Linked DNA regions of Oryctolagus cuniculus. The protein of the gene in region 1 interacts with the protein of each later gene in a pairwise test. Links are inferred from orthologs where the notes say so. Each region holds a gene or a part of one and is shown in the gene's direction. Other genes may lie near its edges. The genes, in order: KASH5, TRAF3IP3, TMEM11, CYBC1 and GALNT2.

Region 1 (5,281 bases):
TTGATCTCTGCCGCCCACGTGTTGCCAGCCCACACCACCAGTTCATAAAACAGGTTGGAGCTGGAGCCGTGGGTAAAGGCGGGGGTGGCAAACAGGTTCTGAGGACGTGGAGTGGCCCGCGGCGCAGGTGCCTGGTGTCGCTCTGAGAAGGCTTTGCCCTGCTTGTCCCTCCAGGAGCGCTCAGCTGCTAGGCCCCATCCTCTCCCTCCCGGCGAGGGAGGGGGCTGCTAGCTTCTCCAGCAGCCGTGGAGTAGCCAGGGAGGCCCATGGACCTGCCGGAGAGCCGGGCTGGTGGCCCTGCAGCACAAAGTAGGTGGCTGGGCCCCTTTCCGCGCCAGGGGAGCTGGGGGTGAAGGGGCACCAGGCCGAGACTCGGATTTGGGAGCGGTGGCTTGGGGTACCTGAACCTCCACACAGATGTAGGGTGGGAGGAAGGGAGCAGTGATGGACCGAGCGCCTCCCGTGAGCCCGCCCACCGGTCTGTATCCCTGGGGTGTGTGCACTGGGGAGGCCAGCTGTCGCCTGTGCCTGTGCTGAGCCCTGGCCAAGAATGCCCTCCCGGTCCCCGCAGCTCCCCGCCTCCCACGCCCATGGCCACCCTGCTGCCACCGCCAAACCTTAGGGGAAACAGCCGTCTGTCAGCCCTTCCCCGTCACCTCTCCCTCACGGCCCTGACGTCTGCGTCTGCTCAGTCCCTCTCCCCACAGGAGCTCCGCAGGGGACACTTCATTCAGCTGGTCCCTGGTCCCTGGCACAGCACTGCCCCAAAAAATGTGGGCCACATAGGAATTTGTGAATTCTTTTAAAAAGAAACAGCTGAGGCCGGCGCTGCGGCTCACTAGGCTAATCCTCCACCTGCAGCGCCGGCACACCGGGTTCTAGTCCCGGTCGGGGCGCCGGATTCTGTCCCGGTTGCCCCTCTTCCAGGCCAGCTCTCTGCTGTGTCCAGGGAGTGCAGTGGAGGATGGCCCAGGTGCTTGGGCCCTGCACCCCATGGGAGACCAGGAGAAGCACCTGGCTCCTGCCATCGGATCAGCGCAGTGCGCCAGCCGCGGCAGCCATTGGAGGGTGAACCAATGGCAAAGGAAGACCTTTCTCTCTGTCTCTCTCTCTCACTGTCCACTCTGCCTGTCAAAAAAAAAAAAGTAATAATAGATAGTATTGAGCCTTATAGATCCAAGCAGCGTATACAACCAATATGAGACAGTCTTTTTTTCCACACAAAATCTTCAAGATCTGGTGTGTACTTTTTTTTTTTTTTTAAGATTTATTTTATTTGAAAGAGTTACAGAGAGACAGAGGCTGGTTCACTGGTTCACTCCCCAAATGGCCACAGCTGGCCAGAGCTGAGCCGATCCGAAGCCAGGAGCCAGGAGCTTCTTCCGGGTCTCCCACGCAGGTGCAGGGGCCCAAGGACCTGGGCCATCCTCCACTGCTTTCCCAGGCCACAGCAGAGAAGGATTGGAAGTGGAGCAGCCGGGTCTCAAACCGGCGCCCATATGGGATGCCGGCACTGGAGGCGGAGGCCCAGCCCGCTGTGCCACGCTGCAGGCCCCGGTGTGTACTTTAGCAGAGCGTCTCAGTTCACACGGAGTCCACGTGCTCAGGAGCGCGCGTAGCCAGTGGCTGCCCTGTTGGTTCCCACTGCTGAATACATAGGTGGGCGCAGACCGCACAGCCGGCTCCAGGGGGAAGGCGGTGGGCGGCCCGGGGAAGCTTGTCTGCCAGGCAGGAGAGCGCGGTCTGATGGGCGAGGAGGCCTCCCCAGTGGCGGGCCCAGGCCAGCGAGAGAAGCAAGGCCACTCCCTCCGCTCCCTGGGCACCCAGCAGCACAGCCTGCGTCTTTCCCAAGGCCCAGGCCTGAACACTGGCTTCAGGATGCTTTCCGGGCGGCGCCAAGGCCAGTGCCAAGGTGCGGGATGCAGTGCCGGCCGACCAGTTAGGGGCGCCCCCGAAACGTCACCTGCACCAGCAGAGGGCGTGCAGCCACCGGCAACCTCCAAGCAGGGACCGAGCCAGCTCCAGGAAGCTCGCGAAGGGAAGGGAGGGACACGCCCAGGAGGAGAGATGGAGATGGGGAAGATGTGGGGGGTGGGGGGAGCCGGCCCAAGGACAGAGAGCCGCCCCGAGAAACACGAAACACGGAGATGAGAGAGGAAAAAAGATAGGATACAAAGGGGGAGACGCAGCAGGGGGAGGCTGAGAGCCAGGGAGAGAGGGAGACAGACGCGGAGAGAACAGGAGAGCAGTGACAGCCTCCTGAAGGGACGGGAAAGGCGTGCCCCCAGAGCCGGCACAGCCTAGGGCTGCACAGCTCCAGGCTTGGCCGTCCCTGGTGGGCGGCCCTCGGCGAGCTAGCGGCTGCCCCAGCTGTCCACGGCCGGAGCAGAGTCTGGAAGGTCAGTTCCGGCCCTGGAGAGAGTGGGCCAGCCCCACAGCCCCTGGGCCCGAGGTCTCCGTGGATGTGATAGCGCATCTATTGAGCACCGGCTGCATACAGGCACAGTGCTCAGGTGTCTACACAGACCCTGGGAGACCCGTGAGTGGGTTCCTTCCCAGATACAGAGCTAACCCCCCCCCCCCCAGCCCTGGAGAGAGGGGTGGCCCTGCCCACCCCACCCCCTTTTTATCCAGGAGAGAAACTGGCGCTCCAAAAGGAGAAGCCATTTGTCTACAGATGCGCAGATGGGCTCCACGCCCAGCTCAGTCTGACACAGCGATGCGGCTCCCGGCTGCTCCCGCTCCCCTGCCAGGACCACCCTCTCTCCCCGCATCTCAGGCCCCTGGCCGTGGGCTCTGTGCGAGGCCAGCCTCGCTTCTGTCCGCAGGGCGGCGTGAGGTGGGGACAGACCTGGTCCCCAGGGCAGGCTGGGAGGCCGGAGATGCAGCGGTCGACATCGATCCATGCTGCCCACACTGTATCGGATTGTTCCTGGCTCCCGCCCCCCTTCACCCTTGGGTCCTCCCAGAATCCTCTCCTCTTTGTCCTTCCCCACCCCAGCCCCCTTCTGTGCGCATTCGGGAGTCTGGAGAGGAGAAGCAGTGTCAGTGTTCATTGTCTGGGGGCTGAGCCACTGGGGTTAGACAGCGGGGGGACCTCCTGGCCTGCAAGACAGGACCTGCCAGGGGCCGTGACTCGGAGACTCTCGTCCCCCACCTCCTGCCGTCCCCCACCGGCCCCAGCTCCAGGTGGCTGAGTGGACTCCCTTCCCTGTGCAGAGCCCGGCGGCCGAGGGCCAGGCTCCTGCTCGCTGCAGAGCTGGGCCTCCTGTCTCCTCAGGTTACCCCTGGGAGCAGCCTGAGGAGCTGAGCCCGGGCATGCTGCTCAGCCTAGAGGAGCAAATACTCAACTCCACATTCGAAGCCTGTGACCCCCAGAGCACAGGTGGGAGGGACCGGAGGGCAGGGCTGGGGAGGCAGTGCGGGGGGTGCTGGGAACTGGGGGGGCGAGAGGGGACGAGGCTGGGGACCCTTCGGAGGCTCCTGCAAGAGCGAAGCAGGTGACTGTCCAGAGCTTTGGGATGGAACTGGGCGAGGTGGTGGAGGTCCCTGAGGCTGAGGGGAACTCGGGGGGCGCTGATGGAAGGGGGGCTGGGGGGCCTGGGACGGAGGAGGGAGGCAAGTGTGCACGCCAGCACCGGCCCTCGTCACCGTCCTCCCTGGTGGACCCTGTGCGGTCAGGAGGGCTGGGCCCCACTTCCAGGTGAAAATGTTGACTCAGGAGAGGAAGGGACTTGCCCAAGGTGTTGCCCCAGTGCCACACGACCCGAGCCCCCAGGCTCTGGGGCAGAGTGTCACACGACCCGAGCCCCCGGGCTCTGGGGCAGAGGTGCCACACGACTCGAGCCCCCAGGCTCTGGGGCAGAGTGCCACACGACCCGAGCCCCCGGGCTCTGGGGCAGAGTGCCACACGACCCGAGCCCCCGGGCTCTGGGGCAGAGTGCCACACGACCCGAGCCCCCGGGCTCTGGGGCAGAGTGCCACACGACCCGAGCCCCCGGGCTCTGGGGCAGAGTGCCACACGACCCGAGCCCCCGGGCTCTGGGGCAGAGTGCCACACGACCCGAGCCCCCGGGCTCTGGGGCAGAGTGCCACACGACCCGAGCCCCCGGGCTCTGGGGCAGAGTGCCACACGACCCGAGCCCCCGGGCTCTGGGGCAGAGTGCCACACGACCCGAGCCCCCGGGCTCTGGGGCAGAGTGCCACACGACCCGAGCCCCCGGGCTCTGGGGCAGAGTGCCACACTACCTGAGCCCCCGGGCTCTGGGGCAGAGTGCCACACGACTCGAGCCCCCGGGCTCTGGGCAGAGTGCCACACGACCGAGCCACTGCCCGTCCCCACCCACCACCTGCCCCTGACTCCCTCGTGACATGCTCTGTCCAGGCACTGTGGCTGTGGCCCACGTGCTGGCCTACCTGGAGGCGGTGACGGGCCGGGGTCCCCAGGATGAGCGCCTGCAAACATTGGCCCAAAGCCTGGACCCCAGTGGGGAGGGCTCTGGGGCCACCGTGGACTTGGACACCTTCCTGGTGGTCATGCGGGACTGGATCGCTGCCTGTCAGCTGCATGGGTGAGTGCCCATACCTCCGCTCCCTGGGGAAGTCCTTCCTGAGGTCTGACTGCCTGCCTGCTTGCTGCGGCCAGCACCACTCAGGCCAGGGACCCACTGTGGTTGGAACGAGACTGAGGGGATGGAGTTGGAGGGAGTATGTCAGGGGTCTGAGGACAAAACACCTCAGCAGAGGAGGAGGAAGGGGCCTGGAAGCAGAAATAAAGGGGACTGGCAGGGCCCCCCCAACCCCAGACCCAGCCCTAGCCCCTCCCGCTTTCCCATCTGGGCCCGGGCTCTGGCCATCTGGCCTCACCTTCCTCCCCGTGGCGCCCACTCTCACCTGACCCAGGCCCCTCCTCCACCCCACAATCCCCTGCTGGCTCAGGTCGGGATTCGGAGTGCTGCGGGGGGCTCTAAGCCTCGTGCCTTTGATTCAGGGGATTAGAGCTGGAAGAGGGGCCCGCCTCCGAGGGAGTCCTGACCTCTCAGCAGCTGCCATCTGGTGAGACGCTATATATAGCACAAAGCAGGCAGACCCGGGTCGGAGCGCGGGACTCCCGCCTGGGGCGAGCAGGGCACAGGGTGCCCCCCGGGCCGCTGCGCTAGACAGGAGCTGAGCGCCTCTGTGATGCCCCCTCACGCTCCCCAGAGCTCGAGGGGGAGGGGGGCTGTTTTTCCCCCGAGGGGGATTATTTGCAACTTCTCTGCCCAACACCAGCCCTATCATA
Region 2 (5,281 bases), on another chromosome or scaffold:
CAGAATCCCAATAAAAGGGCAGGGAGGCTGCTACCTGTGCAGTCTGCTTGGCCTATAAGCAAACCCATATGGCCAGAGCTGGCTAATGCCTGCTGGTTGGTGGAGCTAAGATACCACCTCTCTGACCTACCCAGGAACTGAAGTTCCCGGGGTGGGGGTGGGGTGGTAATGAGGTCATGAGCTGGAGAAAGGAGACAGCAGCTGTGAGGGGGAGTCCCTCTTCCTTCATCAGTCCCAGGTCTGACCCCAGTGGTCAGAGGCTCGGCGCAGGATTTCCAAAACTCAGGATCCAGCTCAAGTGCAACCCCACTCAGCAAAGCTCCCAGAGCATCCTAGGAGAATAAGCGAATTCACAGCAGGTAGGTGCGGAGAGCAGGAAAGAACAAAAGAGGCCAGGAAAGAAGAAGGGATTGGGTTCAGGTGCATTGGAAATGGCAGGGAAGACAACATGCAAGGTGTCAAGTACAGCCTCTACACCATAAACCTGGTTCCCTGGGGACTTTGGGTTCCTGATTCTGTTTGTTTACAGGACAGACTCTTTGAGGTGTGATTCATGTGTGTGCTGGTTTGGATGGCACAGTCCATGTCTGGACTAAGGAAAGCAGACTTGGAAGCAGAGTTAACCCTCACCGGGAGGTGATTCTAGAAATATGCAACCCTCAGCTTCCCAAGCGAGAGAGCCAGATGCACGGAAGTGGGTTTCATCCTGGACTGGACGTGTGGCAGGGGCTTGACCAATGCTGATTTGATCTGATTTGCACATGCGAACCAGAACCCAGCCCTGAGAGTGAAATGGGTGCCAATGGACCCATGCCGGGACGACAGAGGACCCAGCAGACTAGGAGCACAAGCTGGTTGCTAAGGGCCGGGAAGACAGCAGTGGTTGCTGGTCCCAGGCCTCGTCACTTCCTGAGGAGGATCGGTTTTCCCTCCGGGTCTCAAGTGTCACTTGACTATTTTAGTAACAAAGTAGGCCAAGAGAGCAGTAAAAATGCTGACTCCCCTTCTAGGTTTGGGAGATTAAGGGGAACAGGGTCAACTTAGCTGTATCCTTGGCAGGCTTCAAAATGAACACACGTGCTGCAGAATGAGATCATTCTAATTTTGTCAATTATTTCTCATGCCTTAGAAGAAGCAGTGGTATCCAGAGAGACCCGAGCACTTCACAGAGGGTTGACGCAGGTTAGAGAAAATCAGGAATTCGCTTTTCTTAGATTTTATTAGTTTGCCAGAGACTAAGCCCAGGAGTGCAGGCTCCAAGCTGGATACTCTCACGTCCTCAGTGCTCGACACATGTGGATGGAACGCTGTGCTATTTCTGCCCACTAGACCAGGGAGATGGTCATCTTTCTTCCTGTCTTTTGACACCTCCCTCTTGGCATTTGGCAGGGTCCAGGCGGTTATGCAAGGAAGTGGAAGCCAAGTGCAACAGGTGCTCGGGAGGTCATCATGATCAGGCCAGACCCCAGGCCCTCCCCCGGCTTGGCCCGGTGGGCTGAGAGCTACGAGGCCAAGTATGAGCGCCGGCAGGAGACCCGTGAGAGCCGCCGCTGTCGCCCCAACATGACCACTTGCCGCCAGGTGGGAAAGGCAATGAGGACCCAGCAGAGAGAGCAGCTCCAGCGAGCTCGACAACGGCAGTTCTTCCAGAGGAGGAAGCTGGAGGTGGAGGAGCGAGGCCAGGCACGGCCTCCCGGGGCCAAGGAGCAAGGCCCTTCCAGGAGGACACGCCAGGCCGCTACCCTCAATGGGTCCTTGTCTTGTGCCAACAGGATCTCCTCCCCTGGACAGCAGGTGGGCCATGTCCAGGGACGCACTGCTCCCAAGGTGGAGGGAGGGTGGGCTCAAGGTCACGAAAAAATGGTTCTACTAAATCTCTTATTCTTTGGTCAAATACGAAAGTCTCCACTTGCCAGCTATTTAGTCACACAGGGATTTTTGTTCTAGTGTTTTCCTTTATTTGTTTAGCTCTTTTTTTTTTTTTTTTTTTTTTGCACTTACCTTCTGGGAGAAAAAAAATTATGAACAATCCCATTGCAATACCTAGTGTCAGTTCAAATTTAGGCAATCTATAGTATCTGCTAAGCTATTTTACAGCATTCACCCACCCATCATTCATGCAATATTTACTGAATCCTTATATGCCAAGGACAGGCCAACCCTCTTTATGTCCCCTCTCCCAACACACATGCGGACACAGACACACACACCTGGTCCTCTATTCTTCTGCAAGTCTGTTGCATCTGCTCACCCTCTCGCTTTCCCTTGGCCATTCCAGTTCTACCAAATTCACTTAGTTAAGGCCTCAATCTGGTCCAAGAAGCCTTCCCTGGCCTCTCCAGGCCACTCTTGCTCTCTGTGGGTTGTGGGGTTATAAATCTTCTAAGATTGTGTAACGCTTAGAGAGCTCGTTGGTCTGGCCTGGGAAGCAGCAGTGTTGGCAAACGCCAGGGTATGTGGAGATGATCCGACCTCAGCCAGCAAGCCATCTGTGTCTGCCCACCAATGCTGTGAGCACACTGACAGTACGGATGGGTCTGCTGTATTCCCTGGAAACACCTGGCCCTGTGCCGTACTCTGAGTAGCAGCTCCATCGGGGCTTCTTTCCTGGGGCTCTGCTCTGCGTAACGGGAGGGCTGTTCAAAGAAAAGATCCTGCGGCTCAACAGCAAAAGGAAACCAACTCTATGCTTCCTAAGGCAGAACGACTTCTGCATGCGTTTTGTTGGAAGAAAAGAAATCCAGAAAGAAAAGTAGAGCAACTACAACTCATTAAGAACTCCAGAGTTCCACGTCCACCTATCAGTCATGTGAGGTTTTACTGAGACTGAATCTCTGTCCGCGGGATTAGGTACTACGGGGATGTCACCAGCACAGACTTCCTGTGTTAGCAAGAACACAAGATAGAAAGAGCAAACCAAGCTGTGGCCACGACCACCACCCCCTCTCCTCAGCTTCCTACTTTACCTTCTCTTCGCACAAAATCTCAGAGATTCTCCAGCAGAGAGGAAGGAAGCTAGCTCTAGAATAAAGCAAGCACCCTGCGAGTCATCTGTCCCAAACTCCCCACTGCACAGGCAGGAGACTGACACCACAAAAGCAGGATCTAAAACCCAGAGCCCCTTACCCACTGCCACTCAATTCTTTTTCCACCTTGCCACCCTGGGTGAGTAATTGGCTGGGACCAAACAGTATAGGCAAGGATTCTGGAGTGAATTGTTAGAGGCAAATCCAGCTGCCAGGCAGGACCTGGCAAGCAGACGCAGCGGAAACCTTGTGGCCTGGAAGGCTCGAGTGGGCTCCTGGAGCTGAACTGCTGTCCTGGGCACTTGCACTGCTGTCCCCAGTCAGCAGGGACTGGGAGGCCTTAACAAGAGAAACTTATTTCTCACAAGTCTGAGAGGCTGGAAGTCCAGGCTAGCGGCTCTGGCAGTCAGTGTGTGAGGACATTCTTCCTGGGCTAGTGATGGCCTTCTCATCGCATCCTCACAGGGCAGAGAGCAGACAGGGAGGCACACCGTCTCGTGTCTCTGCTCATGAAAGGGTGCTGGAACCATCATGAGGGCTCCACTTTGACCTGACCATTCCCCAGGGCTCCACACAAGCACTCGGGCCACAGCAGATGTGATCTCTCCAATCATCTGGAGAATCTGCTTCCTTGAGGCTCTGGGGAGTGGTTCTCAGCATCCCCTACTTGCTTTCCAGGTGGCAGAGACCAGCTCTAAGAGCCTTCCAGGCCAGCAGCACCCTCCCGCAGACGTCCAGAGGGGTCTAGCTGACCAGCCCTCCCCCCTGGCAGGGGGCCTCCCACCACAGGACCCTTCCATCAGGAAGCTGCCCAAACATCACCGTGGTAAGGGCAGTGCTCCTTGGCATGACTGGATCTACAGGGAATCCACAGTTCCAGCTCACTGGCTGTGGAGAGTCCCTGTCCCTCCTCCTCTCCCTCATACCCTCTCCATGGCATCTGAGTCACCTTATCCTCCTTCTCCCAGGCACTCAGACCAAGGCAGAAGAACCACAGCCGACACTGAAAAACGATGCCAGTCAGCAAACCAAGTGAGTTCCTTTCACAGTCCTGCCCCTAACACCTACACAGCCCATCCATCCCTGTCTCCTAGGCTCCCACTTGAACACCTCTACCCAGCATGTAGAGGGAGCACAGTGACTTTCCATGCCACTTTAATCAGGAAGAAAGAAGCCCTTCCCCACCCCAAGGGCTGTTCAGAAGGGATCCCAGAAAGAATCCACCTGCTGCCTCCTGATTTGCTTAATGTCCACTGACTTTTCTTCTTCTCTTCCCAGTTATGGAGTGGCAGTTCTGGATAAGGTAAGAAAATTGCCACTTTGAAGGGGTTTCTCTAAGATACAAAATTCTGGAATTCCACGATAAACTCAGGCCAAGATGAAGGGGGACGGGCCTGTGCTGTGGCATAGCGGGTAAAGCCGCTGCCTGCAGTGCCAGCATCCCATACGGGTGCCAGTTCAAGTCCCGGCTGCTCCACTTCTGATCTGGCTCTCTGCTGTGGCCTGGGAGAGCTGTGGAAGATGACCCAAGTCCTTGGGCCCCTGCACCCGTGTGCAAGTCCCAGAGGAAGCTCCTGGCTTCAGATCAGTGCAGCTCCGGCTGTTGCGGTCAATTGGAGAGTGGGCCAGCAGATGGAAGACCTCTCTCTCTCTCTCTCTGCTTCTCCTCTCTCTGTGTAACACTGACTTTCAAATAAATGAATAAATCTTAAAAAAAAAAAAAAAAGATGAAGGGGGCAGTTCTTACTGGATGGCCTGGGGACTCCAGAGCCTACAGCCCCAAGGCAGAAGAGGTTTGCTCTACCCAAGCCAACCCAGCTGTGGTTCCACATCCCAGAGATTCAGGGAACCAAGAGTCACGTGAACACCTTTTTCTTTCTCTATAGGAAATCATCCAGCTTTCCGAGTACCTCAAAGTAAGTGGCCTCTCCTTACCGCTCCTCCATCCACCTGCCCGCTCCTCCTCCAGGGTAAAATTCTTATCCTCTTAAATTTGTCTTTCTGCCCTCTCCTGCGCAGGAAGCCCTACAGAGGGAGCTGGTCCTAAAACAGAAAATGATGATTCTCCAGGACCTACTGAACACGCTGATTCGGGCCTCTGACAGCTCATGGAAGGTAAGAGAATAAAGTCTCTGTTTCAACAAAGCTCATGGGCATCTAGGTGTGCCCATCTCATCTTTCTTCCCACACCATCCCAGTAACAGAAGGGATTTTTCTCACTGCTGAAGAGAGACCTGGGAAGAGGCAGGCAGTAT
Region 3 (5,938 bases), on another chromosome or scaffold:
TTCTCCAGCGCTGTCCATGGTCACCAAAGGCAGGGTGACCCCAGCGTGCACACTGTGGGGTAAGGCAAGGTTTGGGGTCCTGACCCCGGCTACCGTGTCTGGTGTGAGCCCAGAGGGCGAGCCAGAGGCACAGGCTGGGTGTGTCTCCTGGGTGAGCCCATCAGACTGGGTACACAGAGGCACAAGGGGCCGGCGCTGTGGCAGAGCGGGTAAAGCCACCGCCTGTGACACTGCCGGCATCCCATATGGCGCCAGTTCAAGTCCTGGCTGCTCCTCTTCCAATCCAGCTCTCTGCTATGGCCTGGGAAAGCAGTAGAAGATGGCCCACCTTTCTCTCTGTCTCTCTCTCTCACTGTCCACTCTGCCTGTCAAAAAAAAAAAAAAGATGGCCCAAGTCCTTGGGCCCCTGCACCTGCGTGGGAGACCATCTGGGGAGTGAACCAACAGATGGAAGACCTCTCTCTCTCTCTCTCTCTCTCTCTCTCTCTCTCTCTCTGCAGCTCCAGGGCCTTGGGGACCCATATGTCCCTCTCCCCTTCCTAGGAAAACCCAGTGAAGCCCCGCAGTGGGAACCTCAGGCTGACATCAGAGCACTGGTGGCAGTGCTGGGACCAGAGGGGGCTCCTGCCCCGCTCCCACCCCGCGGTCCGCTCCCCCACCCCAGGCGACTGCTGGGCAGTGACTGGAAAAGGTGCCTGGACCACATGCCAGGAGGTTGGTGGAGAGGGAGGTGGAGCCCCCCCCAAGTTCAAGTCCAATCAGGGGGCGGGGCCTGAACTCATGGAGAGGGGGCGGGGTGCTGCTGCTCCCTCCCCTGCTGTGCTGCTGGGAGCTGACCCACAGCAGCCTGAGCCAGCCCCGGGGGTGGGGTAGCAGCCCCCTCCTCCACCTCCACAGGCATTGGAAGCTCCTCCCCGTGGGCGACCCCTTCCCAGCAGGCAGCCGCTGCCCCCACCCCCAACTCTGGGTCTGGGAGACTGCAGGCCATCTTGCCCGGAGCTCGCCTTTTAATAAATAGTTCAAATATTTATTTAAAAAAAATCAATAAAAGGGCATCTAGTCAGGCATTTTGGGGCAGAAGGTCAGGGAATGCAGTATCTAGAATGTGGATGGAATGTCTGGAGGCGTGGTGGCCATGTTGGGACCCCGAGGCAACAAGCATAAGGAGAAAGTGAATTATTGTCACCAAGTATTTTTTTTTCTTTTATCCTAGCAGGTGAGTGCCTAACTAGGAAGATCAAGCTATGAAAGTATCCGGAGGAGGAGGAACCTGTCAGGGAGCCAGAATGGCACCTGCAAAGGTCCTGAGGCAGGACTACAGGCTTGAACGATTTGAAGAACAGAGTTGATGCAGTGCCATGAGCCGCAGGGCTGCTCTGGGTCTCTGGGGTTGCACCCCGCCCTTTCTGCCAAGCTGCCCCTCTTCTGCCTTCTCCCTGCCGATGCCCTCCATGACGTCACCACGCCCCCTCCCCCCAGCCTGGGCTGTGGCCTCCTCGTCTGAGGGCTGGACCGTGGCAAGGGGGGGACTGGCCCCTGGGGGTCTCAGGCCTCCACCATTCCCCCTTGCAGACAGGGGTCCCGGTCAGGGAAGAATGTAGAGGTGTTGATTTTGGGGGCCAGCAGGTTAAGCTGCCGCTTGCGATGCAGGCATCCCAGATGGACCCAGGTTCGAGCCCCGGCTGCTCCACTTCGGATCCAGCCCCCGGCCCACGCACCCCTGGGAATTGTAGGCACCTCCCTCCCGCTCCCCTTGGCCCGCGCGCTCTGCACACCCAAGAACGTCCGCGCGGGTGGGCGCCCACACACTCGGGGGGCGGTGGCGGCGGCGGGGGCCGCCCTGGGCCCCGGGCTCCGTCCCTGCGAGCGCGCGCGCGGACTACATTTCCCAGCCGCCCCCGCGGGTCCGCGCAGGACTACATTTCCCAGCCGCCTCAGCGAGCGCACGCCCGGACTACATTTCCCGCCGCCGCCCGCCCCGCCCAGGCCGCCGCGCCGGCGCCGGCGAGCCGAGTGTCTCCAAGATGGCCGCCTGGGGAAGGAGGCGTCTCGGCCCGGGCAGCAGCGGCGGCAGCGCCCGAGAGAGGTGAGGCGCGGGGCTCGGCGCCGGCGGGGCGCGGGCGGCGCGGGGGTGCGGGGCCGCGGCGGGCCTCCCGGGACGCGGGGATGGCGCTGCTCAGCCCTCACCCCACGCCGGGGCTCGCGGGCGCCCGGGCTCGCGGCGGTGGGAGCCGCCGGGCCGCGGCGGCCTGGGCCGAGCGCGAGGGCCCGGAGGGAGAGGCGACGGCCAGGGCCGCACGGGGCCCTAGGGACCCGCAGGGCCGCCGGCGGGCAGGGGGCGGCGCAGAGGTCGCGCCCCGCCTGGCCGACGCACGTGGCGAGACGGGGGCCCGGGGGGCGGCCAGGGCGGCGCGGTCTCCGCGGGACCCTCGCCGGGCCGCAGCTGCTCGCCCGCCGGCCTTGCAGGCGCGCGGGACGCCTCGTGCGACTTGGCGGGCGCGCCGCGGAAGTCCTCTGACGTGACCTCTGCGGGACAATGAATGGTGCGTGGGTCGCGGCTCGGGGGCCGCGGGCGTGCGTGTGCCGGGAGCGCCGAGCAGCCGGGGTCGGGGAAGCCGAGGCGGGCGGTGGGAGGCCTGCGGGGGTGCACGCGCGCGTGAGAGTCGGCGGAGCCGCCTGGGCTGCAGGCTGGGACAGCAGAGTTTCCATCTTGCCTTTTATTTTTCTAATTCCCCCGGGTGAGGCTTAAGCGGGAAAGGCGCCGTCTCTGTTGTGCGTGATCGCTTGGTTGGGGGGCCGGGCCCGGGCCGCGTTGGGACCCCCAGCACCCCGCCGTCTGCCTGGGAGACGCAGGGGCCGGCAGGGGTGATCGCTTGGTTGGGGGGCCGGGCCCGGCCGCGTTGGGACCCCCAGCACCCCGCCGTCTGCCTGGGAGACGCAGGGGCCGGCAGGTGAACAGAGGATTTTTTTCTGTGTTGTGGCTACTTCCGATCGGTGCACGGGCAGTTGAATTAAAGGACGCATTTGCTTAGGTGCAAACTTGTTAAGTCCGTGCGGAGCTTTTTTTTTTTTTTTTTCATACTAAGGCGTCTTCTGGGAACTTCTGGAAGATCCCAGCCCCTCCGAGACGCGGACCTCGGGAGTTTTTTGCATGCAAACGAGGAGCAGGGCCGACTTTGCTGTGTGTCTCCCCGGCCCTGGCGTCTCGTGGCTCAGCCCGTGGGCCGAGGTTACGGCCTGGGTTTCCAGGCGTTCATGCAAGCGTTCCTCTCGAGTGGCAGGAAGTAGTCTGTTTATAAAACTCGGGATCAGGCAGGGGGAGGGGCCGGAAGGGCCCACGAGGATGCGGCTAAGACAGCCCCAGCGTGGTTTTCCCGTCGGCCTGAACCAGGGGCTCACTGGGCGGGGAGCTGCCCTCCGGCATCCCCGGGGCCTTGTCCAGCCGACGGAGGCCACGGGGGCCGTCCGCGGGGACTGGGGACTGGCTGGCTGCAGGCCTGGGCAGGTGCACGCGGCGTGTGGCTCCTCACCTGGCTCGCCGGCGGCGACCTCTAGCCTGGAGCTGTAGGCTTCTGCTCACACACTGGTGTGTGAGCCTTCTGGCTCGGCTACTTGGGTATCGCCGTTTGCCCTCCTTCCAGGTCTGTGCTGTGGCCGGAGAGCGCCCCCTCCGGGCCGTGAGGCCCCCGCCGGGTGCTCTCGGAGGTGTCCCCTGGGGTCCTGCGAGCGCGGACGCTGGATGGGGATACGGGGCAGAGCCTTGCTGACGCGAGGCCACCCCCACCCCGCCGGGTCCCCCACTATCCACTCTCTGAAATGCCTTTGCCCCGGGTCCCAGCCGGGCGGGCGCAGATCTCAGCTGCACACACCTGGCCGGCGGGTGCCGTGCAGAGCGGCTCTGTGGGCGCACTTGCCAGGTTGGCCTGCGCCCCGGACTCCGTGCCCAGTGCCAGTGTCCCCACGTGTTGCTGTCCTGAGCCACCTCTGGGCAAGCCGGGAACAAGCGCCTGGACTCACCGCAGTTCAGGCGCTGCTAGCCAGGTGCCCGGGAGAAGTCCCCGAGGTGGGCTCTCGCGGCTGGTGGCCGGCCCACGGGACAGCGCAGAAGTCTGCAGGGACAGAGCTGGCCTAGGCGGGAGCAGAAGGGGCTCCGAGGCCCGCTGCTGGCTGCCTCCGTGTTGACTTTCCTCTCCACTCCGTTAAATCCAGGGACCCAGCAGTGTCTGCAGTGAAGAACAGCAGACTCTGAGCTGTAGCCCGAGTTCTTGCCCAAAGCGCAGCCCGCCGCGGCGAGCACGCCACACAGATTGCCACTGGTCCCGCCGGCGTCGCTGAGGCACGCGTGCCCATCTAGGAAAGCCCAGCGCAGGTATCTGTGTGTTCTGCCACCTGCGTGCCGCCGAGCAGTCCCCGCGGGTGTGGTCCCAGGGCGCCCGGGTTCCTGGGGTCGGTGGCCTTCCGCACCATCCGCCCCTCTGGTCCGTGCAGCATCCCGGTGGGAAGCCCGCAGGTCACCTGTGCGTCTTCCTGTGCCGTGCTGTGGTCCCCCCAGGACCTCGTCCTCCTGTTGGGTTCCGGTGGACGAGGTCTCAGGTGGTCGTGGCGGGGTGGGTGCCCGGTGCTGCTGACCCCAGGGCCCGGGAGCCTCCAGTGTGGTGGAGTTGTGTTCTGGGGCGACAGCCACCCCCCTTCCTGATCCCGTGCTTTCCTTTCGGAGCTGAGAGCCCTTAGAGTCTGGGGGCTTTAATTTCCCCCGAAAGACCCGGGATGCCGTGGCAAATGGTTTCCTTCCCCTGGTCGGGCTGAGATGAGTGCACGCAGGATTTGCACCCAGGGCCACCGTGGGGCGGAGGTTCAGCTCTCCTGGCTGGGGAAGGGTGGGGGCTCCCGGGGCTCCCACGTGGCTCTCACCGCTGAGCCACAGCGCCAGCCCTGGGCTGGGGTGGGGGGAGTTTCTGCTCTCCCCGATTCACCCAGGCACTCTGGGTCCAGCCGCATGGAGCCTGCTGCCCGTGCCCTTCTGAGCTGCTGTCCAGGGAGCCCCTGTGGGAGGTGTCCCGGGTCTGCCCTGGTGCCGGCGGCATCTGAGCGTGGAGTTGTTGGGAAAAGCCAGGAGCCACTCGTGGTCCTGACAGCTGGGTGTGCCCGAGGACTGGGGTGGGGGATTCATCTGGTTTTAGCTCATTTAGGTGTGAATGGCCTGAGGGGCCTTGCACGGGGTGCCGCCTGGCCGCTGCCCCTGTGCCCCACACACCCGGGCAGGGGAGAACCAGAGTGTTTGCCCTTGCCCAAGTCGGTGGCTGAGAGGGGGCGTGGATCCAGGCCTCGCCCCTTACCTGCACTGCCCGCGCCGCCCTCAGCGCTGGGGGCTCTGACTCCTCTGCGCCATCGCTCTGCTTTCCTTCCGGTCCGCCCACGGTGGGGTTCCTGCCGGGGAGATGTGACCGTGTGGGAAAGCAGCGGCAGCCTGCCCCTCCCAGCGGAAGCTTGGAGTGGAACCTGCTAGGGTCAGGCTGAGACGCTGTGCAGGGGCCTGGGGAGCAGCATCCCCGCGTGGGCCATCCCATTCTCTGGCAGGGGTGGGGGTCCAGCCCTGCACTTGCACACTGAGGGGGTGCCGGGTGAGCCAGGCTTTTGTGGTTTTTTTTGTTTTTGTTTTTTGTTTTTTGACAGGCAGAGTGGACAGTGAGAGAGAGAGAGGGAGAAAGGTCTTCCTTTGCCATTGGTTCACCCTCCAATGGCCGCCGCGGCCAGTGCACCACGCTGATCTGATGGCAGGAGCCAGGTGCTTCCCCTGGTCTCCCATGGGGTGCAGGACCCAAGCACTTGGGCCATCCTCCACTGCACTCCCGGGCCACAGCAGAGAGCTGGCCTGGAAGAGGGGCAACCGGGACAGAATCCGGTGCCCCAACGGGGACTAGAACCTGGGGTGCTGGAG
Region 4 (5,756 bases), on another chromosome or scaffold:
CTCGATTTCCAGCGGCACCGCTGCCTCGCCCATCCGAGGTCCTTCCACAGAGGTGAAGTGGTCTCCCTAAGTGGGAATCGACATTAAAACCCACAAAGCCGATACTGAAATTGTGTGCTGCTCCCGGCTTGTCTTTGTAGCACTTTTAAGCAGACAGTACTGGGAAACATACTTTTTTTTTTTTTTTTTTTTGACAGGCAGAGTGAACAGTGAGAGAGAGAGACAGAGAGAAAGGTCTTCCTTTGCCGCTGGTTCACCCTCCAATGGCCGCCGCGGCCGGTGCACTGCGCTGATCCAAAGGCAGGAGCCAGGTGCTTCTCCTGGTCTCCCATGGGGTGCAGGGTCCAAGCACTTGGGCCATCCTCCACTGCACTCCCGGGCCACAGCAGAGAGCTGGCCTGGAAGAGGAGCTACCGGGACAGAATCCGGCACCCCAACTGGGACTAGAACCCGGGGTGCCGGCGCCACAGGCAGAGGATTAGCCTAGTGAGCCGCGGCGCCGGCGCTGGGAAACATACTTTAAAAAAACAGTTCTTATTTATTTTCATCCACTTAAAAGGTAGAGCATGAGAGAGAAAAAGATATCTTCCACCTGCTGGCTTCCTCCCCAACAGCCAGGGCTGGGATAGGTTGATGCCAGGAGCCAGGAACTCCATCTAGGGTTCTCATGTGGGTGGTAGGGACCTGAGTCCTTGGGCCATCATTGGCTGTTCCCAGGACACATTAGCAGGAAGATGGACTGGAAGCAGAGGAGCCAGTGGAACTGGCACTCAGAAACATTCTTTTTTTTCTTTTCTTTCTTTTTCTTTTTTTTTTTTTTTTTTTTTTTGACAGGCAGAGTGGACAGTGAGAGAGAGAGACAGAGAGAAAGGTCTTCCTTTTGCCGTTGGTTCACCCTCCAATGGCCGCCTCGGCCGGCGCGCTGCAACCAGCGCACCGCGCTGATCCGATGGCAGGAGCCAGGTACTTCTCCTGGTCTCCCATGGGGTGCAGGGCCCAAGCACTTGGGCCATCCTCCACTGCACTCCCGGGCCACAGCAGAGAGCTGGCCTGGAAGAGGGGCAACCGGGACAGAATCTGGTGCCCCGACCGGGACTAGAACCCGGTGTGCTGGCGCCGCAGGCGGAGGATTAGCCTATTGAGCCGCGGCGCCGGCCCAGAAACATTCTTTAAATGTTTAAAATTTGAGGGGCGGGCACTGTGGTGTAGTTGGTAAAGCCACCACCTGCAGTGCTGGCATCCCATATGGGCGCTGGTTCGAGTCCCGGCTGCTCCACTTCCCATCCAGCTCTCTGCTGTGGCCTGGGAAAGTGTGTAAGATGGCCCAAGTCCTTGGGCCCTGCACCCGCGTGGGAGATCTGGAGGAAGCTCCTGGCTCCTGGTTTCGGATTGACCCAGCTCTGGCTGTTGAGGCCATTCGGGGAGTGAACCAGCAGATGAAAGACCTCTCTCTCTGTCACTCTCTTTCAAATAAATCAATCAAGTTTAGGGGCCGGCGCTGTGGCTTAGTGGTAGAGCCGCCACCTGCAGCGCCGGCATCCCATAGGGGCACCGGTTCAAGTACCGACTGCGCCGCTTCCGAAATGCAATTGCGGACTTGACCTGCCCAGTGCCGACGGCGTTATCTCCTGGCCGTTCGCTATCCCGTGTTCAGCAGCGCCAACCAGACCAGGTGCGGTAGTCGCTCCCTTCACACGCGCACAGCTCCCCGGAGGTTGGCCTTTACCCGCGCACACGGCCGCACCGGGAAGCACCGGCTGTGAGCGCGGTGCAGGTCCCCGGCGACGGCGGCAGGCAGCAGTCAGCACGTCCCGGCCGCAGACGCCGTGGCGGGCAGAGGTCCCCGAAGGGCGCTGCCCAAGCGAACTTCCCGCAAGCTTCCGCTGCGTGAGCCGGCGAGTGTGCGCCGCGCAACGGCGCGGCGTGCGCGCGGGCCGCGGGCCCCGCAGACCCTCCGTGCGCCCCCGCGCCCGGGCCCCGGAGGCCCCGCGAGCCCGGAAGTCCGCGCGCCCCGCCCTCGAGCCCGGAAGTCCGCGCCGCCCCGCCCCGCCCCGTCGCAGGTTCGCGCCCCTGGGTGGCGGCGGGTGCGGACGGGCGCGGCGCGCTTCCTCGGGCCGGCGAAGGCGCCCTGCAGCTTCCCGTCAGGTGGGCGCGCCGGGCAGGGCCTGGGGCTCACCTCCGGGGGGCGCGGCGTGTGCGGGGGCCGGGGTCAGACACCCGAGTTCACTGAGGCTCGTGAGGCGCGCCCTGCCGGCGTGGGCTGTGGTCTCGAGCTGTCCCGGCACTGACGCGCCAGGCTCGGGTCCGCGGGGCCCGCGCGGGGACGAAGGGTTCCGGCAGTTCCGGGTGGGGGGTGCACCGAGTGCGCCTGGGGCCGGGTTTGCTGGGCTGACCGGCGGGCGCTGCGTGTCCTGCAGCGATGTACATGCAGGTGGAGACGCGCTCCAGCTCCTGCCTCCACCTCAAGAGGGCCCCCGGCGTGCGCTCCTGGTCCCTGCTGGTCGGTAAGGCCGTGGGCAGCACGCGGGGCACAAAGCACTTCCTCCTTCCGCTGCCGGCGGCGCTCTGGCTCTCGGGTCCCCGCGCGGGGCCGGCAGGCGCCGCTGTCCGCCGCCCTTCACCGAGTCCCGGCGCCGGTGCTGTGATGCGCGGGTCGTGGGAGGGCTGCCCGCGCGCCCGCGTTTCCGGTTCCCTGGCTCAGTGCCCTGCGGGAGTCCACGTCTGCCCCTCGCGCCGGTGGCTGCCCGTGGGGAGCGTCCTGTGGCCCCTCCGGCACCGTGTTTCCGGCGCGCGCTCTGACCCCCTGCCTGGCTGGCTTTGCGCCCTGCTGTGGTTTTCGGGCCTTCGTTCCTCAGCGGGTGCTGCCAGGGTCACCCCCATCAGGACAGTCTCCTGAGACCGCTCTGGGGCCCGCACGGGTCGTGTCCAGTGAACACTGCACTCCAGGCTGCCCCGCCGTGGGAAGGGCCCGCGAGGACCCAGTCGGAAGCCTCTCGCTCTCTTCACAGGCATCTTGTCCATCGGCCTGGCTGCTGCCTACTACAGTGGAGGTACAGGACACCTCCCCAGTGTGCCCCGTTTGGGAAAGTGTGGGTCAGCAGGACAGGTGATGGCCAGGGCCCGCACGGGCACGGGCACTGTCAGGCCTCCCCTTCCCCCCGCCCTAACCTAGTGGGTCTGGGGTCAGGCTGTGCTGGGCAGGGTGCCTGCCGGCACTCACGGGGTGGCGTCCTGCGTCTGTTTCCAGATAGCCTGGGCTGGAAGCTCTTCTATGTCACGGGCTGCCTGTTGGTGGCCGTGCAGAACCTGGAGGACTGGGAGGTAAGGCCGTCAGGTGGGGCGTGGGGGGGGGGGCACGCTCGGCTCTGGGCCCTTCTGCAGCAGGAAGGTTCCGGGTGGCTTAGTGCTCCGTTCCCGTCCTGAAACACCTGTCCTAGCCGGTGGCTTCGGTGTAGCGGGACGTGGCCCCTGAACGTTGCCTGTCGGCGCTTGGGCCAGGGACTCCTCTAAGGGGGTCTTCCTTCTGAAGTACCCTGTGACTGGTTTTGCTCCTGGGGCTGCCGTGGCAGAGGGCGAGTGCCATCCTGTCCCCTCCCTGGCCTCAGTGTCCTTGCCGTGTGCTTGTTTGACCCCGGGAGGGCACCTGCCCCACCCAGGACGGGGAGTGGGGGATGTGCTCAGCACTCTGGTTTCCAGGAAGCCATCTTCAACAAGAACACCGGCAAGGTCATCTTGAAAACGTTCAGCCTCTACAGGAAGCTGCTGACTCTTCTCAGAGCAGGCCACGACCAAGGTCAGTGTGCAGAGGAAGGGAGCCCAGAATGGCTGCTCAGCGCCTGAGGCTGAGACGCATGCAGCCAGCCAGGGTCCCCCCACGTCCCCGGCCTGCAGGGCGGGGTCTAGGCAGATGCCCCAGGTCTGGAGAATCCTGGGTTCTGCAGAGGCGCAGCCTGCCGGGGCGGTGGAAGGGGCTAGGGTGCATCCTGGCTCTGGGTTCTCCCCCTCCCCCCACTGAGCTTCCTTTGTCTGGGTGGTGGGGTGGTTGTGGGGCCCGGGAGGCAGGGTTACAGCAGTGAGCAGGTGACTGGAGCCAGCCACACTCCTCTCTGCTCCAGGGGTCACACGGCTTTTCCTAGGCCGTGGCCCTGCTCGGCCTGTGGGGAGGGATGGGTGGCTAGAGGAAGCCCCGGCCTGGAACAACTTCTGAGCCTGGAACTGGTTCAGCTGGGAGTAGGCAGAAGGTGCCACAGCCACTATCCTGGACCCTGAGGAGCTGGTTTCCAGGGCATCACAGGGAATGGCCAGGAAGCCCCCGCTTAGTGATTGGTCATGGGGGCCTTAGCCTTGGGTGTGCACGTGAAGACAGGAAGGGCTGAGCTGGGCTGTGGGCTCACACGGGTGTTTTGGCTCCATGATGGGAGCCCTGGGTGTGGCCTCACCAGGAGATTCTCGGGCCCAGGCTTGGACAGGGAGAGGTAAATGCTTTTGCCACTGACAGGTGCCTCGTGGCACAGGTGGGGTCGGGGACGGTGTGGCCACTGACCCGTCCCTCCACAGTGGTGGTCCTCTTGAACGACATCCGGGACGTGAACGTGGAGGAGGAGAAGGTCCGATACTTTGGGAAGGGCTACACGGTGGTGCTGCGGTTTGCCACGGGCTTTTCCCACCCTCTCACCCAGAGTGCTATCATGGGCCACCGCAGGTAAGACCCGGCTCAGGGCGGCAGTGCCTCATGCAAGGCGTGGCTGATCTGGCTAGAGCCTCCCACCCTGTGCCTCGGCCCTGTCGGATGACCCTCATGACTGATGGCCCAGTGTTGTGGGGCAGGAGGGGCAGGAGGGGCAGGAGATGCTAGTGTGTACACAGGAGGGGGGCCTGAAGGGGAGGCACAGGCTTGTGACAGCCCTGCCATGGCCACCTTGGAGAATTGGGCTAGGGTCAGGTACAAGTGGGACCAGACAGGAGATGTGGGGTCTGATTAGAGCCTAGGGGCTGCTGGACACGGGTGGGTTGGGTTGGGACTGGTGTGGCCTCCTGCTGGCTGCCGCCGGCTGACCTGGTGCTGGCCTCGTCCAGTGACGTGGAAGCCATCGCTAAGCTCATCACCAGCTTCCTGGAGCTGCACCACCTGGAGAACCCCTCGGAGTTGTCTGAGAGCAGCGACAGCGAGGCCGATGGTCCTGGGAGCCAGAGCTGACAGCCCAGGCTGGCCCTGCGTCCGGTCGTGCCTCCAGCGGAGCGGCTACCGTGAGGCCTGCCCAGAGAGCTGCTTGTGCCTTCTGGCCCTGCTGCACGGACTGCGCAGAACCACAGGCTGCGCCTTTTCCGAGGGCAGGGCCAGGGGGCGCTGGTGGGGGTCTGTTAGGGGATGTAGGGTGGGGTGCTATGTCCAGGGAGGCCACAGGGCTGCAGGGCTCGAAGTCACTCCTCGGAGTCGGGCAGCAGCCCTGGCTGTGGCAGGTGGGCAAGAAGATGGCGGTGGCACAGCCGGTCTAGGTAGGCCCATCCATGGCCTCTGAAACAAACAGGACCTGGGCTTTCTCCAGCGTGATGACCACAGTGCTGGGCCAAGCTGCTCTGCGGACACCAAGTTCTCTTCCTGCTGGACACCCCCATGGCCAGGAGCTTCCCCAGGGCAGCCCTGGCTGCCAGGGAGGGGGCAGATCCCCGGGCACCCCCTGCCGGAGGCAGCCTCTCCCCAGGGGCCCGCTCTTCCTGCGCCCGGCCCAGACAGCTGCCTCCTTCTCACCAGCACA
Region 5 (5,281 bases), on another chromosome or scaffold:
GCGCCTTGCGTCAGTCACAGAACGTGTGCCTGTTTGTTAGCACACAGCATGCCAGAAGACAGAGAAAGTCCTTAAAGGGAGAGGCCGAGGATCCAGGGATTTGGAATGCAGACCTGCAGGGATGAGGGAAACAACCCTGGTGCCTCCAGCCAGGCAGAGCGAGAGTGAGCTGTTGGAGGCTGGGGGTGGACTGTATTGTAATCTGGGAAGTCAGACTGGGTGGAGGAGGCCTTGGCAATTAACCCCTTCGTGATGATTTTCATGAATGGCTCTAATGTGGCCTAATTTCTTTTTTAATAACCATGGACCTCATTTCTACCCAGGTTTAGGAGCAATGAAATGTTACAGACTGTAGTCTACAAAGGTAGCTCCCTCCTTTTCACTGCGTGAAAGACAGGAGGACGCTCGTATTTTGTCTGCTTGGTTCGTTTTTTTCAGGGCTCGTGATTTCTTTTGGCTTGTTTCTCGGGAAGCCTTGACTTTCGGGTCCTGAGCCGCCCCTCCTGTCTGTTGAACGATGTTCAATGGCTTTTATCCTTGGGGGAGGGAATCCCGGGGGGACAGGGGGGAAACTGAGGCCCCTTGTCATTCTGAGAACTTTTTACTTACAACAGAGGCCATGGTCATTTTTTTATTTTGTCTCAAATCAAAGACTGGGCCACCTGTTACTTTGTCCATTCTTCTTCTTCTTCTTCTTCTTCTTCTTCTTTTTTTTTTTTTTAGAGAGAGAATTATTTTATTTATTTGAAAGAGTTACAGAAAGAGGTCTTCCATTTCACTGGTTCAATCCCCAAATGACCGCAACGGCCAGAGCTGAGCTCATCTGAAGCCAGGAGCCAGGAGCTTCTTCTGGGACTCCCACATGGGTGCAGGGACCCAAGGACTTGGGCCATCTTCTACTGCTTTCCCAGGCCATAGCAGAGAGCTGGATCGGAAGTGCAGTAGCCGGGACTTGAACCAGCGCTCATATGGGAAGTCAGCGCTGCAGGCTGGGGCTTAACTCACTGCACCACAGCGCCAGCCCCGACTTTCTCCATTATTCTAAGGTGTCACAGTCAGAGGTGGTGTCTCTGCTCCAGAGGCCCTTTGCCTGGAAGCTGCTTTAGGCTGTGTCACGGCACTCTTTAAGGGCTTTTGGTGACGCACTGCCCTCTAGGCAGGGTTTGGGTTGAAGAAGGCATTTGGACAGGAAAGGCCTTGGAATTTTTAACCCCCGGGAGAGAGTTCTGCATTACCCTGAAGATCCAAGGTGTGCCGGATATGCCCCCTGTGGACAGCTCTGGACCATACCCTGGAAGGAGCCAGTCCCTTAGCAGGTCCCCACGGGCCGGTGCAGAGCTGCCCCCCGACTCTCTGGGTCACCTGTGTCTCCTCCACCATCCCAGAGATCTCGTTCCGCGTGTGGCAGTGCGGTGGCAGCCTGGAGATCATCCCGTGCAGCCGCGTGGGACACGTGTTCCGGAAGCAGCACCCCTACACGTTCCCGGGCGGCAGCGGCACCGTCTTCGCGCGGTGAGTAGTGAAGGGGTGAGCAGGGACCGGGACGCGACTGCCTGCCTCTGAGACAGGCCTGGACCTCAGGCCGTGTGGGAACAGGTGTCCTTTAACAGGAGTGCTGTGTTCGTACAACAGATTGCACTCACAGTTAAGGGGAGCAGGCTGTTGACGCGGTCGTACGGGCCCCTCTCCAGGGCACTGCGGTGAGTCTCTAGTGACAGTGAGCAGTAGCAGCCAAGGCTGGGGTTGGGGAGACTGACGGGAGGGGGCAGTTCCAGAGCATTTGGGGGGCAGCTCTGTTCCATCTGCGGATCTTCCATCCACTGGTTCACTCCCCAGATGGCTGCAACAGACTGGGCTGGGCTAGGCTGCTCTCCCACATAGGTGGCAGGGGCCCTAGCCCTGGGCCATCTTCTGCTGCCTCCCCAAGTGCATTAGCAAGGAGCTGGATTGGAACCGGAGCAGCGAGGACACAACCTGGCCCTCCAGAATGGGATGGTGGCATCACAGGTTGTGGCTTAACCCACGGCACCATAAGCCATCCCAAGGGAAGAACAGTTTATGTATTTACTACCCAAGGCACAGTTAAAGATTATATAGCCTTGGACTGTTGGAGCAGTATACCACGGAGTGGGTGATTTAGAAGGAACAGAAGCGTACACAGCTCTGGAGACTGGAACGTGCAGTGTGGAGGTGCGGGCACCTGACGAAGGCCACCCTGCTGCACCTCAGGGCGGAAAGGGTGAGAGAGGACAAGCGGCAGCCAGCCTGCCCTTCTCCGTGGTACCCGCTCCACCTTTGAGAGCGGGGCCCGCACGCCTAACCACCTCCTAACACTGGCAGTTTGTTATCACAGCCGCTGCATTTCAGCCTGAGTTTCAGCTCTCAAACTATGGCAGATATTAAAATCAAGTCATACCCAGAGAGACCGTGACATGTGGATAGAATTCATGATAGAACATAGGCAGGTTTTCGAAAACGCGACGAACTTTCTGGAGAAGAATCGCAGATGGCCATTCCATCACATCAGATTTTTTTCCTAGGGAATTCTTTTGGTTGCTAAAGATAGAACAGTGTACAAGTCCGACCTTGGGGAGGTTCCCTTTTCCCAGGGGTCAACAGTGAAACACACAGCAAAGGACATGGTTTCAAAGACTGACCTACCGCAGGCTGTGAGGAAGAAAGTGCGTAGACCTGGACAGGCAGGGGCGCGAGCTCGTGGAGGGGCCGAGGAGCAGGTGTGAGAGCTTAGACCTGGCAGTAGTGAGGGTCCCTGCAGCAGAGGCAGGTCCAGGCTGCTGACACAAGGGGCAGGTTGGCACGTCCACACCCCAGGACTACAAGGAAGCCAAGGTGACAGGAGCCCAGGGAACGAGGGGACAGTGGGCAGGTGTGGGAAGAGTTAGGCAGGCCTGAGGCTGCACCCCTGAGGTCTTGGGAAACCTTGGATGTTGTTTGATGGCACAGGGAAGCCATTGGGGGTTTTAAACAGGGGCCTGACTTCTCTGCTTAAAGCCTCAGAAAGGTCCTGCTGGGCGGAGGTGCTAGGAGAAGACACCATGATAAAGCAGTGGTGCCTATGCCTGTTCTACCAGGGGGCCTCTGAGCCCTGTTACGGTAGCCCAGGCCACAGAGGGGGCTCCTGGAGCAGGTATATGACAACAGAGTTGGGACCAGCACCCATCCCTGTGATTACTCATGGATGGCAGAGACCAGGGAGGTGGAACAAGGAATTAAGGGTCACACCCAGGTGTTTGTCACACAGGTGCTGATGGGGTGCCCTCCTCAAATGGGAAAGCTTTGGGGTGGAGAATGGGGATGATTACTAACTTATCTTTTTCATGTATTGATTGATTTATTTGAAAGGCAGAATGACAGGGAGAGGGAGAGACAGAAAGAGTGATCTCTTCCATCCCCTGGTTCACTCCCCCAAATGCCCACAACAGTCATTGCGGGGCCTGGCCAAAGCCAGGATCCAGTAACTCCATCTGAGTCTCCCACATGGATGGGCTGGACCCCAGTACTTGAGCCATTACCTGCTGCATCCCAGGTGTTCCTGTATTTGTCACATCAAGAAGACTGCGGTATAATAGGTGTCGAGTTAATACCCCAGTGAATGAACAAGCGAAACCAGCACTAAGTAGCACATGAAGCTCGTGCTTTGAGGCTGCCTTGATCATCTTTCTCTAGTCAGTAGACAGAATAGGTTGTTTTGCATTTAGTGATTAATTAAGAAATGACTTAATCATTGAAGGACTTAAGCAATTGCAAAACACTGTGTGGCTAGAATTCACAAAACCTTTAAACTGTTAGGGCTGCAAGGGACCTGGAGCAGCGTCCTTGAACCGAATCCAGCATCCTCCTGCTGGAGAAAGCCCGTGCCAGAGGGCTGTAGTCACACCTCGGGAGAGCACAGGTTAAGGCAGGGTCACTCAGCAAGACCCCAGGGTGCCTCTCGGAGTATGGAATGGCTCTCCTGAGAAATAACCCTTGAGAACCAGTGTCCCCAGCACTCCCAGTACTCATGGTTATATTTATGTGTTTTCTCATAGAGAGAAAGCAAGAAATTACTGGTCTCATGGTTAAACCACATTGTGCCCTGGTACTTTTGTAATCTGATGTCTCAGCCTCTCAGTCTCTCTCCCTCGCTCCCTTGCTCTGTCCCCTCCCTCCCCCACCACGTATCCACTCTGTGTTGGCCTGTAGTCTGTCTGTTTTTCATCCAACATTGAGTCAAGGACGTTGTAAGACGTACACCTGCAGTTTTTGTGACCACAGAGCTCACCTGACGCTCATTTATTTGATCACTTCCCTGTGTGTTTGGCCACATGTGTTTCTGATTTCTGATTTTTTTTTTTTTTTTTTTTTTTTGCCATTATGAACAGTGCTGAAGTGAGCATATTTTCACATATATTTTCACTCCCGGTGGATTATTTCCTTGAGGTAAATTTCTGGAAGTGAAACTGCTGGGTCAGAGCATCCGTGCATGCGTATTGTCTTGCCTGTCTCCTCAGTGGCGTTCTGACCGTCCATGGCCCACTTCAGTAAGAGGAAGAAGATGCACACGTCACTTTATAGGAAAGATAGCGGCCTCTCACAGAAATCACGTTCATTGGTCTAGCTCCGATCATTTGAAGGGCTCGCCATTCAAGGGTGCTGCTGGGAGAGCAGAGGGCACGTCGCCTCCCCAGCGTATTTATTGTGCAAGAACAGCATGTCCCACGTGAGGGTTCACCGTACGCCTTCCTCAGAAGTGGGTTCAGGACAGGAGAGCAAAGAGGGTCGCTGTGTTAACGCTGCTTCCCGGACGCTTTAAAAAGAACCATTGGCAGGGTATGCTGCTGACGGCTACCCAGCTCGGTAGCCTTTCATGTTTGTCCGACCTTCAACACTGATGTGTCCCAGGGCCCTGTTCATCGTGGCTCGGGGATCCCTCCGTGAGTGTGTGAGTTAGGGATGTGGCTCCGCTCCCTCCTAGGAAACCCCCGCTTTGCCTGTGCCCTCAAGCCGTAGGAACCCCAGGCATGGCCGTGACGCTCCCAGCCCCTCGTGCCACTGTCCCTAGGCTCTCAGCTCAGGGCTGCAGAAGACAACGCAATTTGAACAGCAGCTCTCATCTCATCTTAACTTCCCCCAGAGCTGCCTGGTGGTGGTAGCGCCATGGCCCTAGAGAGGCCAGAGAGACCAAGACTGGCCTTCTGTGGATGCGTAATTTGAATTGTCCCCAGGCGACTCTCTTTTGTCCTCCTGCGTGGTACAAGGCAAGCTGTTCTTTAAAACACCA

The links.
Region 2: the proteins of KASH5 (region 1) and TRAF3IP3 interact in binary tests that used the Homo sapiens proteins (3 or more experiments, as listed by UniProt). The two-hybrid records come from large-scale screens. The link is inferred for Oryctolagus cuniculus from reciprocal best matches to the Homo sapiens genes KASH5 and TRAF3IP3.
Region 3: the proteins of KASH5 (region 1) and TMEM11 interact in binary tests that used the Homo sapiens proteins (3 or more experiments, as listed by UniProt). The two-hybrid records come from large-scale screens. The link is inferred for Oryctolagus cuniculus from reciprocal best matches to the Homo sapiens genes KASH5 and TMEM11.
Region 4: the proteins of KASH5 (region 1) and CYBC1 interact in binary tests that used the Homo sapiens proteins (3 or more experiments, as listed by UniProt). The two-hybrid records come from large-scale screens. The link is inferred for Oryctolagus cuniculus from reciprocal best matches to the Homo sapiens genes KASH5 and CYBC1.
Region 5: the proteins of KASH5 (region 1) and GALNT2 interact in binary tests that used the Homo sapiens proteins (3 or more experiments, as listed by UniProt). The two-hybrid records come from large-scale screens. The link is inferred for Oryctolagus cuniculus from reciprocal best matches to the Homo sapiens genes KASH5 and GALNT2.

Annotation. Positions count from the first base shown.
Region 1 is NC_091449.1:8,007,361-8,012,641, reverse strand, and holds part of KASH5 (protein KASH5), read left to right. Parts: intron 1-174; 5' UTR 175-266; coding exon 267-309; intron 310-3,280; coding exon 3,281-3,385; intron 3,386-4,384; coding exon 4,385-4,571; exon of another isoform or gene 4,572-4,759; intron 4,760-4,990; coding exon 4,991-5,055; intron 5,056-5,061; exon of another isoform or gene 5,062-5,181; coding exon of another isoform or gene 5,182-5,281. UniProt on the Homo sapiens protein: As a component of the LINC (LInker of Nucleoskeleton and Cytoskeleton) complex, involved in the connection between the nuclear lamina and the cytoskeleton.
Region 2 is NC_091444.1:24,608,752-24,614,032, forward strand, and holds part of TRAF3IP3 (TRAF3-interacting JNK-activating modulator), read left to right. Parts: intron 1-1,389; 5' UTR 1,390-1,449; coding exon 1,450-1,794; intron 1,795-3,704; coding exon 3,705-3,852; intron 3,853-3,994; coding exon 3,995-4,058; intron 4,059-4,304; coding exon 4,305-4,329; intron 4,330-4,912; coding exon 4,913-4,942; intron 4,943-5,045; coding exon 5,046-5,141; intron 5,142-5,281. UniProt on the Homo sapiens protein: Adapter protein that plays essential roles in both innate and adaptive immunity. Plays a crucial role in the regulation of thymocyte development.
Region 3 is NC_091448.1:65,902,188-65,908,125, forward strand, and holds the start of TMEM11 (transmembrane protein 11, mitochondrial), read left to right. Parts: upstream 1-1,935; 5' UTR 1,936-2,024; coding exon 2,025-2,086; intron 2,087-5,938. UniProt on the Homo sapiens protein: Plays a role in mitochondrial morphogenesis.
Region 4 is NC_091448.1:649,739-655,494, forward strand, and holds the start of CYBC1 (cytochrome b-245 chaperone 1), read left to right. Parts: upstream 1-1,990; 5' UTR 1,991-2,145; intron 2,146-2,417; 5' UTR 2,418-2,419; coding exon 2,420-2,504; intron 2,505-3,008; coding exon 3,009-3,050; intron 3,051-3,247; coding exon 3,248-3,321; intron 3,322-3,696; coding exon 3,697-3,793; intron 3,794-4,557; coding exon 4,558-4,702; intron 4,703-5,076; coding exon 5,077-5,197; 3' UTR 5,198-5,756. UniProt on the Homo sapiens protein: Functions as a chaperone necessary for a stable expression of the CYBA and CYBB subunits of the cytochrome b-245 heterodimer. Controls the phagocyte respiratory burst and is essential for innate immunity.
Region 5 is NC_091444.1:49,921,089-49,926,369, forward strand, and holds part of GALNT2 (polypeptide N-acetylgalactosaminyltransferase 2), read left to right. Parts: intron 1-1,385; coding exon 1,386-1,512; intron 1,513-5,281. UniProt on the Homo sapiens protein: Catalyzes the initial reaction in O-linked oligosaccharide biosynthesis, the transfer of an N-acetyl-D-galactosamine residue to a serine or threonine residue on the protein receptor.